Rattus norvegicus: one gene and its partner. The protein of the gene in region 2 binds, or shares a complex with, the protein of the main gene of each other region. Links are inferred from orthologs where the notes say so. Each region holds a gene or a part of one and is shown on either strand. Other genes may lie near its edges.

Region 1 (4,348 bases), on a different chromosome or scaffold from region 2:
GGACAGTTGGGACCAGCCCAAAGGCTGCAGCGGGCCTGCTGTGGGGAGCACCTGGCTGCCCCCTTCACTGACCAGGGGTATAGTGCTCTAGCAAGGGAGTCCCTTGCCCTGGGCCAGCCACCCCAGGCCAGATTCCAAAACTAAGACCTTCCCATCTCCCCCACACGGTGCTGAGGCTCCCTGCTGAAATGCAATTAAAGCAACTGATTTTCTAGTGCTGGTATTTATTGACTACCGTGCAGAAGGGCTATCTTTCTATTCACATCCAACCTTTTGTTGCGTGTTTCTGTTTTTTAATACTTTAGGATCTGCTCTGTGGGAACAGACCTTGTAAATAACCACTGTTCATATGTGTGGCAGAATGATAAGGGGGCCTCTCTCAGGGGGCCCTGGAGCCAGGGAAGTGGCAGAGCCAGCCCAACTCTGACTGTGACCCAGGAACGACCACCAGAGGTCAGTTAGTTTGTACAGGAAATGGGCCTAAGCCCTTGGGAGGGAGGCAGAACGGGCTCAGTTAGTAGCACGATGACGCATGAAGGAGATTATGTTGTGCTCTTTATTGCCAAAAATAAAAACTTTTAAAAAGACAGCTACTGTTGATCAATAAATACTCCTTTTCTGTACTAGTGTGTGCTTCCCCCTAGGCTGCCTGAAAACCACTATGTAGGGCCAGGGATGCTAAACCCCTATAAAACCTGCCTTGTCTAACACCAGTGGAACCCCTGGCCATCTCTCCGATGTCCTTCCAGGAGGCAACGTGAGCAAGCGCAGTCCTTAGCCCAGAAACCAGAAGGGCCCCAGGGCCTGGAATCCGGTCAACTTTGAACCTAGTCTCCGCAGCAGGCGGGCTAGTTTATGGTGAGCACGTCACTCTGGATCTCATGGCTTAACTGGGTCTGTAAATCACTCAGCTTCTTCTTTAGCCCAGACAGGGCTGAGAGGACAATGGTCTCAGGGCGCAGTGAGCCACATGACTCCACATTGTAGTAAAACCTGAGAGACGAGGGGGTGAGAGCTCTCATGAGGCAAAGCCTGGGCTTCAAACAGACTTCGTTCTGAGACTGGACTCCATTCCTACGAGGCCTTTGATCTTAGGACAGGGCTGACTTCCCTTTCCCTAGAACCCCTTACGCAGAGTGGTCCAGGCCCACTTCACAGTTCCTCGGGGAAGCTACGAAAAGGGCATTGTTGTAAAAACCCTAAGATGACTCTGGGCGTGCATGTCTACACTGGAGACAGCAGGAAGAAAACCAAACACGATTCTGGCTACAGCTCTTCAGTTCTTCAGGGGAGGGCTATGGTTAATTTGTTCTGGCTTGAGCCTAAACAGGAAGGCCAGAAATAGCATGGGGCAGTAAGAAGGTCCCTTTCTTTATGGTGACTAGAGAGGGATGAAGACCAACTCAAGATGTGCGAGTTTGGCAGTTGGTTCTATCACGTGGTGGGGATGAGGGTGGGAGTGGGGGATGGGGTGTGGTGTGGTGAGCTTGGGTGTGTGACTGCCTAACAGCCTCCCACACCTACACTTACAATTACAGTCCCAAGCAGGACTGGGGTCTTACCTCTCTGGCTTGCCGTTGGGGTCATAGGGAGCCTGTGACTCATCCTCATCCAGCTCAGAGTACTCACTCTTTGGCCTGAGGGCAAGCACAGGTAAAGCAAAGGTGGCTGCTTCTACTGTTAGCAAGGCTCTCAGAGCACCCACCTACCTAAATCTCACTACAGCCATTGCTATTCCCCCCTCCCCCCAGAACATACCATTCCTCAGGCTTGGGATACACTGTATGCCTAAGTGCGTTGTCTGGATCGTATTCAAAAGCTACCCCCGCAGTAGGGTTCCACTTGGCATGCTCCTTGCCAAAGCCCTTCTTGGCATAGGCTCGAAGTCTCAGCTCCTGGCCTTTCCTCAGCTTGACAATAAGGATGTCTGCAGGGAGAGGTGAGAGTGAGGCAGAAACAAAAGGGACAAGTTCTCCAACTTGTGTCCTGCAGTACTGCATGAAGAGAAAAATATCAAGAGACCAGGCGACTCAAAAGGGTCTCTGCTCTGACCACCAGCTTGACTGCCCCATCCCTTTCCCATCCAGCCCGACCCCCTTACCATCCTGCTCCACATAGTCATTGGGGTCATTATCCCGGTTCCGGGATGTCACCTGTAGGAAGTCCAAACAAGTATGCATTAGCCTCTCACCTCTCAATCACCTCTGGCAACTGTCTCTCAGTAAATCCAGCCTGTAAGCTGCCAAGCCGGGGAAAGGAGGCTGAGAAGGAGATGGCAGAGTTGTCCAAAGAGCCCCGTGGCCTTTAAAAGGGTCTTTGGACAACATAGGGCACATGGCCCCAATACTGCTCTGTTCAGGAACTCAGGGCCAGCACGTCTAGGTGGCAGTTAAAGTAGATGATCACAGGGTAGGTTAGCATCTCATAAAAGACCCACTCTAATCTACCCCACTTGGAGCCAGGCAGAGAAGAGCAAAGGCACTAACCGGGATAACCCGGGGGCTGTTGGAGATGAGATCTCGGGAGGTAACATGGCGCGTCTGGTCTTCATTGCACCTCACGTCGAGCGTGAACTCCACGGAGCACTCTGGGCAGAACTCTTCACATGTGCAGTCCTGAGGCAGGAAGGGCAGTTGGATCGGGAAGACTGGACTCTCTGCTTTTCCTAACCAGCTCCTTTCAACTTCTTCTTGGTGAAAAGGGGTGACCCCAGTCCCAGGCCCTTTTGGGCTGTGACATCTGGTTCACCTCATGGTAACTTGTATACCTGCTGGCAACCACACTTCCTTTCCAGGGCCACTGCTACAGGTGACCACTAGGGGGCACACTGCTAATTCAGCAGTGCCTAGAGAGGACCAAGGTTTTATGCAACAATAGAGTTCTGTCTATGCAGATCAGCTTGGGAATTACTGAAAATACAAACAAGGGAAGAACAGGAAAACAGACAAAAAACAACAAAAACACCCCCAAAACCCAAACAACTTTGAAGTTCTAGATTACTTGGGGAGGAGGGGGCTGGCACTCACAGCCTAGGCTGGCCTGGAATTTAGGATGTAGGTGAAACTTAAATTACTGATCCTCCTGCTGCTACTACTGCCATGTGAACGATTATAGGCACGTGTCACAACATCCAGTAATCTTTACTTCAAAACTTCTTATGGAAAATTCTACCCACATACAGAACCAGAGAGGACAGATGGCCACTTGTCATATGCCCACCTTCCAGCTTCCTTAATTATCAACATTTGCCACTCTTTGTGGATGTTTTGTGTGTTCCGAGACAGAGTTTTTCTCACTAGGTAACCCTGTAAATGGTGGGATACAGGCACACAGCCGTAGAGGACTGCAGCACACTGATCTGTGCTCAAGTGCGCAGAAGGCAAGGGCAGGGCGCCTGCAGCTTATTTTCTTAGGGAAGAACAGGGCAGACGTAGTAAAACGTTATCATCTGGTAACCACAGAGAAACAAAACAAAGGGGGATTTATTACTGTTTCTCAGACACGCACGGGGACACATGCCTTTAATGACCAAGGGAAACACTCAGGAGGCAGGGCAGGCAGATTTCAGTTCAAGGCCAGCCAGGGCTACATAGCGAGAGTTCCTTAAAACTAACACAAAAAATGGAAACAATAAGTGGATGAAGGGTGTGAGGCTGGCTGTTAAAAGTGACTACGGCTCAGCTGCCAGAGCAACACCCAGTAGTTCACAACTGCCTATAACTAGCTCCAGGGGCTCCGAGCGATGCCCTCTTTTGACCCTAGCCCACCTTCACAGACAGAGGCAGACATACACACACATAAAAGTGGCTGTGTTCCCCCACCCTTTTGGTTGTTTTGAGACAGGGTTTCTCTGTACAGCCCTGGCTGTCCTGGAACTCAAACAGATCCACCTGCCTCTGCTTCCCAAGCTGAGCCTAGAGGCATGTGCCGCCACACCTGCCCGTGATGATGCCTGGATGTGCTGAGAGCAATGTGAAGCCCCATCAGAACCAAGGACCACACTACTAAGACATCATCTCAACAATGAGCATGCTACAGTCAGCTGGAAGGAAGATGCCCAGAAAGATCCCAGGGAGAACTGGACCCCCCTCCCCCGACCTGTGCTTCCTGTCTATCTGCCAACACACGTACCCGGGAGTACTGCAGCTTGTCCACAATGTCATCACTAGTGAGGGGGATTAAACCTGCAAGACACAGAAAAGTGCTCTGCAGAACAGCCAACAGCCAAGCCACCACAAGAACCTCAGAGGTCAGGCAGGCTAGGGACAGGGAGCATCCCACTTTGATCTCTTCCTCAACACCGGCACTCACCAAGCCTGTGCGCGATGAATTCATCATGAAGGACCGA
Region 2 (3,565 bases):
AAAGCCGATGAAAGTGCCATGTTCAAGTCTCACCGTAATACTTGATGCATTCATATGTTGTATCAACTTAGAATCAGGAACAATAACTTGTGGTGCTGTAGCTACAAAAATAGAAGAAAAAAAAGAATAAAAGGTCCATTTACAAACAAGGGTACAGAGCTGCAGGAATGTTATAAAATGTCAAAACCTTTTTCATGATTTTGTTACATTTCCTACTTGAAAATACTCTCAAAGTATTTGCTATTTTAGACTTTTAAAAAATTTTCTATGGAAATCAACAGCTAGAATACATTTATTTTATATTGAAAAATATTAATAAAATGACAATACCTTAGCCAGCATTGCAGTGCATGCCTTTAACACCAGCACTCAGGAAACAGAGGCAGATAGAACTCTGAGTTCAAGGCCAGCCAGGTCGACATAGTAAAGCAGTGTTCTAAAAACAAACGAAAACCCTACAACCTTTTCTAGCAACCTGACTGCTACCACAGTCAAGGCATTTTAATTAACTATTTGAAAAATACAAGTCAGTGGGTAAAAATGCTTGCTATACAAGCAGGAGGACCTGCTTTGAATCTCCAGAACACACATAAAAGCCATAATAGCATGAGCACCCTAATACCACTGTTGTATGGAGCTACCAGGAGGGTGGGCCAGAGACAGAAGAGCGCTAAGCTTGAGGGGAGCTTGAGGGTGGGTAGCCTAGTGCATACAGCAGAAAACACACAGATGCTGTCTCAGACCAAGTGGAAAGCAAGGATCAACACCTAAAGTTGTATTCTGACTTCCATACATGCACCACAGTACATGAGCACCTACATCTGCATGTGCGCACAACATCACACACACAAGGAACAATGGCAATGTTAATTAAAAAGCGGAAGTAATTGTTTGACCCCGCAAATTTCAGAGAATACACAGATAATCCCATTATCTTGATATTCTCTGAGTGAAAAAAATCAATTTTAATTTATGATGACCTAAAATCCTAGTGCCATGCCTATAGGCAATAGGAGGAACAGTCATCAAAGATGAAAAGGATGTCTACTTTATGGTATAGACTTAATATAGGCATGAAGAGCTGGTGAGATGGTTCAGTAGGCAAAGGTAGTTGCCACCAAGCCACGGACTATCGCTCCTACACACACACACACACACACACACACACACACACACACACACACAATATACAAAACTTTAAAAAAAAAAAAGATCCTCAGAATCTATTAGCTGTAAATGGTAAACCAAATTGTATAGGTTTTCTGCTCCATGTAACTATTCCCTGTGCATTTCACATACTCACAGAAGAAGCAAATGAGTCACGGACAGTCACCACCTTAAACTACGCTTTCATTCACCTGAAGTTTCCTTGCCAGTCAAGTTCATCTAACTATAAGATTCAGGAAATGTTGTAACTCAATAGATTTTTGTCATATTAAAAAAAAACTATGTATGGCGGAGATCCTTTTTATGTACTGAGATCCTTTTTTGTTTTTGGGGTTTTTTGAGACAAGTTTTCTCCATGTAGCCCTAGCTGTCCCGGATATTATTCTGTAGTCCAGGCTGGCCTTGAAATCAGAGATCTGCCTGCCTCTTCCTCCTGAGTGCTGAATTGAATGGTATGGCAGATTCTTAATCTTTCCAGATTTTCTTCAACTGTGAGATTGAGCTAATAGCTATTCTGCAAACACCCCAATAAAAGTTAACAGAACAGGACCTATAACATGATTTGACTTTTGCAAACTATGGCAGAGTCAATAAATGACTTTTTTCTTTCTTTAAATCAAGCATTAAAAGGTGGACTAAATTTTCAGACTACCAAAGTTACAAAATTTCTTCAGTATTGAAGATACAAGAACAAAACAAAACAAACATGTCTTTGAAAGAACATGTTTCATAAAGAAAAACTACCTTATATTAAATGATGAATCCCTTTATAAATAAGTCTGTATAGGTGGGGATCCCCATTTTCTTTTTTTCTTATACAATATATACAAAGTGTGGAATATGGATCCTTACCTCCAACCTATGTGGCACAAGGTTTCTTTGTAATGTTTCTGATATATTTAACAGATTCGCTGGCTCAAAACCTTCTGGGACTCTGTCTATACTACCTATCTCCCCACAGGGGTCTTCTGCCTTTATGCTCTTGGGACTCCAAGTCTCTCTACCTGGTCCCTAGCTCAGCTCATTCACATATTGTAGCTCCCCTCCCAGGGATGCTCTTCTTAACTTTTCCCTTTGTTATTTTGTTTTGCTGGTTTGGAGGCAAAGTCTCAAGTAGTCAAAGCTGGTTCCAACTCACTCTCTACAGAAATAACTAAAGATGACCTTAATATCTCACCCTGCGTCTTCCTGAATGCTAGCATTATAGACGTGCTCCACAATACCCAGCTTATGCAGTGGTGGGTTCATGTATGAACCCAGGGCTTCATATATGCTAGGCGAGCACTCTACCAGCCAACAGAGAAGAAAAAGATCACATAGATCACCCGATCCCAGCGTCTATTTAAAAAAGATGATGGATCCATGAAATTCAAGTCAAAGGAATACTTTTGAAAAACAAGTGCAATTTGCTAGCCACGACAGGGAGCTCTAGCCTCCTCACCTTGCTGTGACGCAGGAATAAGAACCTGCTGGGTCTGTGCTTGCTGAGGTACCGTTTGCTGAGGTTGCGCCTGCTGGTGGTGGTGGTGGTGGTGATGCTGCTGCTGCTGGGGCTGGTGCTGCTGCTGAACTTGCAACAAAAGCTGCTGTTCTTCTGAATGAAATCCATCTACTGCCCTAGACTGCATTAGTTTATTCTCCCACAACTAAGACAAAGAACAATAAAGACTTCTCAGTGACTTCAAGAAAACTCTGGATATATAGGCAAAACATTAATTTATTACGTGTTTGTAAATTTCTTCCATTCTAAGAAATAATACAATCCCACACACACACACATGAATTAACCTTTCTTACCCAAGTTTTATATAAGGAAAATAAACCTTAATCAGACCTCATGTTTATTATGCTGAAGAAATTTTTTTTACATTCCAAGAAACTTTCTAGAGTAATTCCTCACCTCAGTTGTCAGGTATTGTTAACAGAGTTCCCAGAGTCAATCCCTGAATAATCACAGCTTATCTTTTTACTTTTTATTTCAAAATCATTACGTAATTGCTTTTATGGAACTTTGCTCAATACAAATTTCCTATCTCTTCAATAGGAGTCAACATGAGAACTATTCACCCATTTGTCCTTAATGAGAATAATGAGAAATAAAGGCATTCTAAATTAAGACAGGTCAACTTCCTTCTGTTTGTCTAACCTTGATGTTAAAGAAAGTGATGCTGAAATGGTCATCCCAATCCTCTCTCTACACCTCCTGAAATGTCCTTTCTCCCAATATGGACGACTGACATTCACTTTCTGCTTAGTCACTTCTATAGGTTGAACATATTTAGTCTAAAAACTCAAAATCTGCAATGTTCTAAAATCTGTACCTTTTTGACTCCTGACAGGATGTCACTACAGGAAAATTCTACCTGATGAAACTTTACTTTATGTACAAAAACCATTA

Evidence for each region.
Region 1: Gtf2a1 (region 2) and Polr2c share a complex: the UniProt entries of both Homo sapiens proteins name them as parts of the TBP-based Pol II pre-initiation complex. The link is inferred for Rattus norvegicus from reciprocal best matches to the Homo sapiens genes GTF2A1 and POLR2C.

What each region holds. Positions count from the first base shown.
Region 1 is NC_086037.1:10,163,611-10,167,958, forward strand, and holds the end of Polr2c (DNA-directed RNA polymerase II subunit RPB3), read right to left. Parts: coding exon 4,312-4,348; intron 4,185-4,311; coding exon 4,132-4,184; intron 2,616-4,131; coding exon 2,487-2,615; intron 2,154-2,486; coding exon 2,102-2,153; intron 1,928-2,101; coding exon 1,759-1,927; intron 1,638-1,758; coding exon 1,563-1,637; intron 994-1,562; coding exon 849-993; 3' UTR 538-848; downstream 1-537. UniProt on the Homo sapiens protein: Core component of RNA polymerase II (Pol II), a DNA-dependent RNA polymerase which synthesizes mRNA precursors and many functional non-coding RNAs using the four ribonucleoside triphosphates as substrates.
Region 2 is NC_086024.1:116,235,193-116,238,757, forward strand, and holds part of Gtf2a1 (transcription initiation factor IIA subunit 1), read right to left. Parts: intron 2,814-3,565; coding exon 2,609-2,813; intron 1,029-2,608; exon of another isoform or gene 886-1,028; intron 102-885; coding exon 34-101; intron 1-33. UniProt on the Homo sapiens protein: TFIIA is a component of the transcription machinery of RNA polymerase II and plays an important role in transcriptional activation. TFIIA in a complex with TBP mediates transcriptional activity.